Linked DNA regions of Saccharomyces cerevisiae S288C. The protein of the gene in region 1 interacts with the protein of each later gene in a pairwise test. Each region holds a gene or a part of one and is shown on either strand. Other genes may lie near its edges. The genes, in order: VVS1 and YDC1.

What was found.
Region 2: the proteins of VVS1 (region 1) and YDC1 interact in a protein complementation assay, tested with the Saccharomyces cerevisiae proteins (one large-scale study listed by BioGRID).

Annotation. Positions count from the first base shown.
Region 1 is NC_001134.8:701,918-706,157, reverse strand, and holds VVS1 (Vvs1p), read left to right. Parts: upstream 1-2,102; coding exon 2,103-3,569; downstream 3,570-4,240. Other genes in the region: ALG7 (UDP-N-acetylglucosamine--dolichyl-phosphate N-acetylglucosaminephosphotransferase), read left to right, coding at 1-711; YBR242W (5'-deoxynucleotidase), read right to left, coding at 772-1,488.
Region 2 is NC_001148.4:381,560-384,908, forward strand, and holds YDC1 (alkaline dihydroceramidase), read left to right. Parts: upstream 1-1,895; coding exon 1,896-2,849; downstream 2,850-3,349. Other genes in the region: YPL088W (aldo-keto reductase superfamily protein), read left to right, coding at 406-1,434; Elongator subunit ELP3, read right to left, coding at 3,214-3,349.

The DNA.
Region 1 (4,240 bases):
CCCAACTCCATCAACATCCTGGCAGGTGTTAATGGTTTAGAGGTTGGCCAATGTATAGTGTTGGCCATCTTAGCGCTATTGAACGATTTGCTGTACTTCTCGATGGGGCCATTAGCCACAAGAGACTCCCATAGGTTTTCCGCTGTTTTGATTATCCCATTTTTGGGTGTATCCTTGGCGCTATGGAAATGGAATCGTTGGCCCGCCACAGTGTTTGTGGGAGATACATATTGTTATTTCGCTGGAATGGTATTCGCAGTCGTTGGTATACTGGGTCATTTTTCAAAGACGATGCTTTTGCTATTCATTCCTCAAATCGTTAATTTTATTTATTCATGTCCTCAGCTATTCAAATTGGTCCCCTGCCCGAGACATAGGTTACCTAAATTTAATGAAAAAGACGGTTTAATGTATCCATCAAGAGCAAACTTAAAAGAAGAACCGCCAAAGAGCATTTTTAAACCGATCTTGAAGTTACTATACTGTCTCCATTTGATTGACCTGGAATTTGATGAAAATAATGAGATTATTAGCACCTCTAATATGACGTTAATAAACTTGACATTAGTATGGTTTGGCCCTATGAGGGAAGACAAATTGTGCAATACAATCTTGAAGTTGCAATTCTGCATTGGAATTTTGGCTTTACTTGGAAGACACGCTATAGGCGCTATCATCTTTGGCCACGACAACCTATGGACAGTACGTTGAAGATTATGTATTGGTAGTTACTTTGTACTTTTATGACGCAAAAGTTGGTATTTATGATAATTATTTAGTTATCGATTGAGTCAAATCGGCGAAGTATTTTTGGCGCTGCACGACAAGGTCACTTGTCCAGCCCTTTACTTCGTCTGTTTTTATGCTAGCTACAGCCCCAAAGAAATCATCGAAGTTTTTCGTTCCTTTGTATTCCCTCTCGTACTCAAAACATTGTACAAGCATTTCATATTTATCGATATCTTTCACGTATCTAGCTTCCAATGAGGTGACATTTTCATAAGCCAACCAATCGTCCATAATTTCCTTTGCCGCGATCTCATTGTATGGCTTGATCAGAGCATTACATAGATATTTTATGGTTTCCCATTCCCGACGATGCTTTTCTTCCTTCCCAATAGGGTCAACTGGAGTAATATCGCCAACTAAAGATTCGGCGATATCGTGCACCAATGCGATCCGGACACATTTATCGCGGTTAACCCGCGAATCCTTGATCAGCATGGTGATTATGCTCAATCTGTACATGTGATCTGATATGCTTTCACATTCTTTAATACCGAGGTCAAGATAACCGGTTCTTCTCTGAATTTTTAATTGCTGTACCACGTTCAAAAACGCCAGGATATAGTTTGGATGGGGTTTAGAGAGCTCATTTTTAACATATTGGGGTACTTGGCTTTCAGGCTTCCATTCAGTTGTTAAACGTGTCTTTCCTGCCTCAACAGAACCAGAGCATGATTTCTTATTTGTGATCGTTGCTGTCATATTTTTTTTATGTAGGCTTTCTTTGACAATTGTTTTTTATGAGAATAAAAATAGTGCAGAAGGTTTATTAGAAATGGAAAAGGTTTGCTCCTGCGAAAAAAACCATTCAGTGGGTATTTTCAGGCTTTATAATGACCAATGGACAGAGTAAAACAGTCTAATTATGATAAAACCATATTTATAGATTAAGACTTTTCTTTTATACGTTTCAGTAATGTTTTTTTTTTTTTTAATAAACGAAATAAATTTTTAACATCAGGACCGAAAAAATGCGATGAGCTTTTAGATCGACGAAAAGTGTAAATGATTTACCTAAATATATATATATGTTAGCGAAAAAAGCTTAGCTTCTGGGCACAGTGCTCGGTACACTTTTGGTAGAGCTGTAACGAGCAATGATACGCGGTCTGTAAAACGAACTTGCTTGTGTAGTCATACGTCGTAGGCGTAATGTAAGGTTGTCCGAGAAAAGATGGGAAGTGTGAGGGATGAAATGGATTTCCCTTAAAGTTGCTTCCTGATTAAGGGAATAACAGGAGAACAAAAGTTGCTGAATATCTTTCTCTCTTGGAACAACAACAAAACACAGAGACTAAGGCATAACAAACTAAGTCATGGCTGAAACTGAAAGACTAATGCCTAACGGTGGTTCCCGCGAAACAAAACCGTTAATTACGGGCCATTTAATCTTGGGCACGATAGTTGCTTGTTTGGGGTCGATCCAGTACGGATACCACATCGCAGAGTTGAATGCGCCTCAAGAATTCTTATCGTGCTCCAGATTTGAGGCACCAGACGAAAACATCTCATACGATGACACTTGGGTTGGGCAACACGGACTCAAGCAATGCATTGCGTTAACCGATTCTCAATACGGCGCAATTACGTCTATATTCAGCATAGGCGGACTGTTTGGGTCGTACTACGCCGGTAACTGGGCCAACCGATACGGAAGAAAGTACGTGAGCATGGGCGCCTCGGCCATGTGCATGGTTTCTTCTCTGCTGCTTTTCTTTTCCAACTCCTACTTGCAGTTGCTATTTGGCAGGTTCCTGGTAGGCATGTCCTGCGGCACCGCCATTGTGATCACACCCTTATTTATCAACGAGATTGCCCCCGTGGAGTGGAGAGGCGCTATGGGATCTATGAATCAGGTTTCTATCAATCTAGGTATCCTGCTGACCCAAACCTTGGCACTCAAGTACGCAGACTCCTATAACTGGAGGTGGCTTCTCTTTTCCGGATCCGTGATTGCGGTAGCGAATATTTTAGCTTGGCTCAAAGTGGACGAATCTCCAAGGTGGCTGGTGAGCCACGGATTCGTCTCGGAAGCTGAAACTGCTCTGTTCAAGTTGCGTCCAGGAACGTACCAACAAGCGAAGCAAGAAATTCAGGATTGGCAGCGTAGCCATGGGCACAACCGCGACCCGGAGTCAAGCGAAGAGACTCATTCAGGACCCACACTATGGCAATATGTTACCGATCCCTCATACAAGAAACCGCGCACAGTTATACTCGCCATCTTGTCGTGCCAGCAATTTTGCGGCATCAACTCTATTATCTTCTACGGTGTAAAAGTGATCGGCAAGATTCTACCGGACTACTCGATTCAGGTAAATTTTGCCATTTCCATCCTCAATGTCGTTGTCACTCTAGCAGCATCTGCGATCATCGACCACGTCGGGCGCCGTCCATTATTGCTTGCCTCGACTACGGTGATGACCGCCATGTCGCTGCTGATCAGTGTAGGTCTCACCTTGAGCGTATCCTTTTTACTGGTCACGGCCACTTTTGTCTATATTGCCGCATTCGCCATCGGTCTGGGACCCATCCCCTTCTTGATCATTGGTGAGCTATCCTACCCGCAGGATGCCGCTACAGCTCAAAGTTTTGGTACTGTGTGCAACTGGCTTGCCACCTTCATCGTCGGATACCTCTTCCCGATAGGCCACGGCCTCATGGGCGGCTACGTATTTGCGATCTTCGCCGCCATCGCTGCCATGTTTGCTACATATGTGTACAAGCGTGTACCCGAGACAAAGGGCAAGACTACATACAGCGAGGTTTGGGCTGGCTACTGATCTGTAGCCAGTCATATATACCTAAGCAACTATTTTTTACTTCTTTCTAGCTATTCATCTGTTTTTTATTTTCTTCTTCTTCTAGTAACGAACGGCTACATGAGTATATGCACTCATTTAGTTAGTATCTATGTATATGTACGGAACTAGGCAAACCAAATGGATTGCTGTTGTATGAGATCCGTGTGGCGGAAACCATGACTACCGCTTGTACTGCCGGGGCCAAAATAGCACACGCGCGTCATGAGTCGCTCACGGGCGAGCGTCTATCTGCATATTTTCCTGAGCCCAATATTCGGTTCTGCGTCTTAGCGGCATAAATGCATCCGGCAGGACTGCCGAGAAAAGGAATATACAATGGCAGCCCTCTTGGCGCATTTGATGTATGCGGATTTCCAACCAATCTGCGAATGCATCCGTGCCAAAATGAAACGGCATTTAGCTTGAAAGAGTCGGAATTCCTGCATCAGATGGGTACCATTTTACCACAGTCTTTTGACTCACGCAGAGTACTCGCGTGCAATTGCTTGCAGGTATAATATATACATATATATATATATATATATATATATATATATATATGTACAATTTGTATGACAAGTGGGTGCACCTTTCTCGGTCGGAATTATATGGGGAACTAATACTACGGGTTAGAGCTATAACAATTTCTG
Region 2 (3,349 bases), on another chromosome or scaffold:
GAGAGCCCAATAATGATAAGACGATTTCTGCATTTAATATACGACTGAGACAGACTTCGTCACCGTGGAAGTATTTTTTGCGAACGTGGAAGTATTTCACCCACGTATGGCAGGCAAGAACGCATTTTCAATAACGTTATTTCCACGGAAAAATGTGATTAGTGTAGTAGGTTAGGAACGGGAGATAACTCGGCCGCTTGGTTTGAATTTGTTTCCCTTCGATTTTGTTTTCATTGCTTGAGTAAAAGAAGCTAAGCTAACATCTGCCTTATTCTTCTCAGCCTTTTCGTATATATATATATATATATATATATATTAGGACCCAGAGAACAAGGTATCATATATTAATTGTCTTGCCAACTATGTAATTTGGCTGTTACGGAAGACCCACATCAGGCGGCAGAAATGGTTTTAGTTAAGCAGGTAAGACTCGGTAACTCAGGTCTTAAGATATCACCGATAGTGATAGGATGTATGTCATACGGGTCCAAGAAATGGGCGGACTGGGTCATAGAGGACAAGACCCAAATTTTCAAGATTATGAAGCATTGTTACGATAAAGGTCTTCGTACTTTTGACACAGCAGATTTTTATTCTAATGGTTTGAGTGAAAGAATAATTAAGGAGTTTCTGGAGTACTACAGTATAAAGAGAGAAACGGTGGTGATTATGACCAAAATTTACTTCCCAGTTGATGAAACGCTTGATTTGCATCATAACTTCACTTTAAATGAATTTGAAGAATTGGACTTGTCCAACCAGCGGGGTTTATCCAGAAAGCATATAATTGCTGGTGTCGAGAACTCTGTGAAAAGACTGGGCACATATATAGACCTTTTACAAATTCACAGATTAGATCATGAAACGCCAATGAAAGAGATCATGAAGGCATTGAATGATGTTGTTGAAGCGGGCCACGTTAGATACATTGGGGCTTCGAGTATGTTGGCAACTGAATTTGCAGAACTGCAGTTCACAGCCGATAAATATGGCTGGTTTCAGTTCATTTCTTCGCAGTCTTACTACAATTTGCTCTATCGTGAAGATGAACGCGAATTGATTCCTTTTGCCAAAAGACACAATATTGGTTTACTTCCATGGTCTCCTAACGCACGAGGCATGTTGACTCGTCCTCTGAACCAAAGCACGGACAGGATTAAGAGTGATCCAACTTTCAAGTCGTTACATTTGGATAATCTCGAAGAAGAACAAAAGGAAATTATAAATCGTGTGGAAAAGGTGTCGAAGGACAAAAAAGTCTCGATGGCTATGCTCTCCATTGCATGGGTTTTGCATAAAGGATGTCACCCTATTGTGGGATTGAACACTACAGCAAGAGTAGACGAAGCGATTGCCGCACTACAAGTAACTCTAACAGAAGAAGAGATAAAGTACCTCGAGGAGCCCTACAAACCCCAGAGGCAAAGATGTTAAGTTAGATTTTCATGGGCCCACTGATATATAGAAGGCTAAATAACGAGAATCATATATACTGTAACATGACACCTGCTGATTTTTACTGATCGTAGCCATTCGGCTCATATTACTTCATGTCCCTTTTTTAAATCCCTCGTTCCCGGAGAGTGGCATAGCATGTCCGATAGCGTACGCCAACCTACAGAATCAGGGGATCAGATTTCCTGAAAGCAACTTATCCATCAGTTTCTTTTTATAATGCCATAATGACAGGTGTGCCTTTCTTATTTTACTTCGCTTGCTTTCTTTCTATTGCATGCTTCAATCTTTGAATATTTGCTAATAGTGAAAAAAAAAAAGGAAATAACTATCTGGTTTATCTGCATTGTTCTTCGTTTTTCAATTCAAGAATTTAAGCAAAAGGATATATCATAGAACCTAGTGAATTTTTAAGAAAGTAAGATAAAGAAAAAAATCAAATGCTGTTCAGCTGGCCTTATCCAGAAGCCCCGATTGAAGGTTATTGGGGCAAGCCAACTTCTCTGATTGATTGGTGCGAGGAGAATTATGTCGTATCCCCCTATATTGCAGAATGGTCAAATACTATTACCAATAGTATATTCTTAATGACCGCCTTCTATTCTACATATAGCGCTTGGCGTAATAAGTTAGAAACAAGGTATATATTGATAGGAATGGGGTTCTCGCTGGTTGGTATTGGTTCGTGGTTATTTCATATGACTTTACAGTATCGTTATCAATTGCTAGACGAACTACCAATGCTGTATGCGACCATCATCCCATCGTGGAGTATTTTTGCAGAAACTCAAGAAATCTTGATTAAGGATGAGAAGAAAAGGAAGGAAAGCTCATTTAGAATCCAAATGGTCATTTCTTTTATCATGTGTGGTATAGTCACCATTTTAACCTGGATTTACGTTGTCGTCCAAAAGCCAGCAATTTTCCAAGTCCTTTATGGTATATTGACGCTTCTAGTTGTGGTTCTTTCTGGCTGGCTGACCTACTATCACGTTCATGATTCATTTGCAAAGAAAAATCTTTTTATTACTATGGTTATGGGCATGATTCCTTTTGTCATTGGGTTCATTTGCTGGCAACTAGATATTCACCTGTGTTCTTTTTGGATCTATATCCGGAGAACATATTTGGCCCTGCCATTAGGTGTTCTATTGGAACTGCATGCTTGGTGGCATCTTTTGACCGGTACTGGTGTCTATATCTTCGTCGTGTATTTGCAATATTTGAGAATATTAACCCATGGAAATCCAAATGACTTCTTATTTATATGGAGGTGGGGATTTTTCCCTGAGCTGGTAAGAAAGGGCTTACCGATTGGTACTTCTTATTCACTGGAGTATCTGGGGCCAATTGTAAATACACAGGTAGATGATGAAACAAAAAAGAATAACTAAGGAGTGATTTTGTGCCATCCATTTGAATCTTCAAAATATATGTACGTATATGTTATGTATGTATATAAATTGTTGTACGTGCAATTGACCGAACGTGTATATTTGTATATAGATATGTGACAAACTAAAGAGCTTACACTTCGTTCCTTCCCTTCTGTTCACCTTTTTTTATTATGCCTGACTATTCTAAAATTTATGTTTATGTGGCGTAAAATATCTTTCTTCTGAAAACACATGCAGCAGTTACTCCCATCATAAAAGGAATTAATAAATGAATAGTATAAACAATTATTTACTTAAATATATTTAAATTTCTGCTTGGAAAACCGGCCATGTCGGCGGCACATAAAAGTTCTATTTACCTTTAAATTCTTTTCGACATGTATGGACCGTCTAGTTCATATCCTAGTTTACCATAGTAATTTCTTACACCAACACCAGAAATAACAGAAATTTTCTCTGAACCATGCTCTTCCTTGGCGATTCTTTCCGCTTCTTCC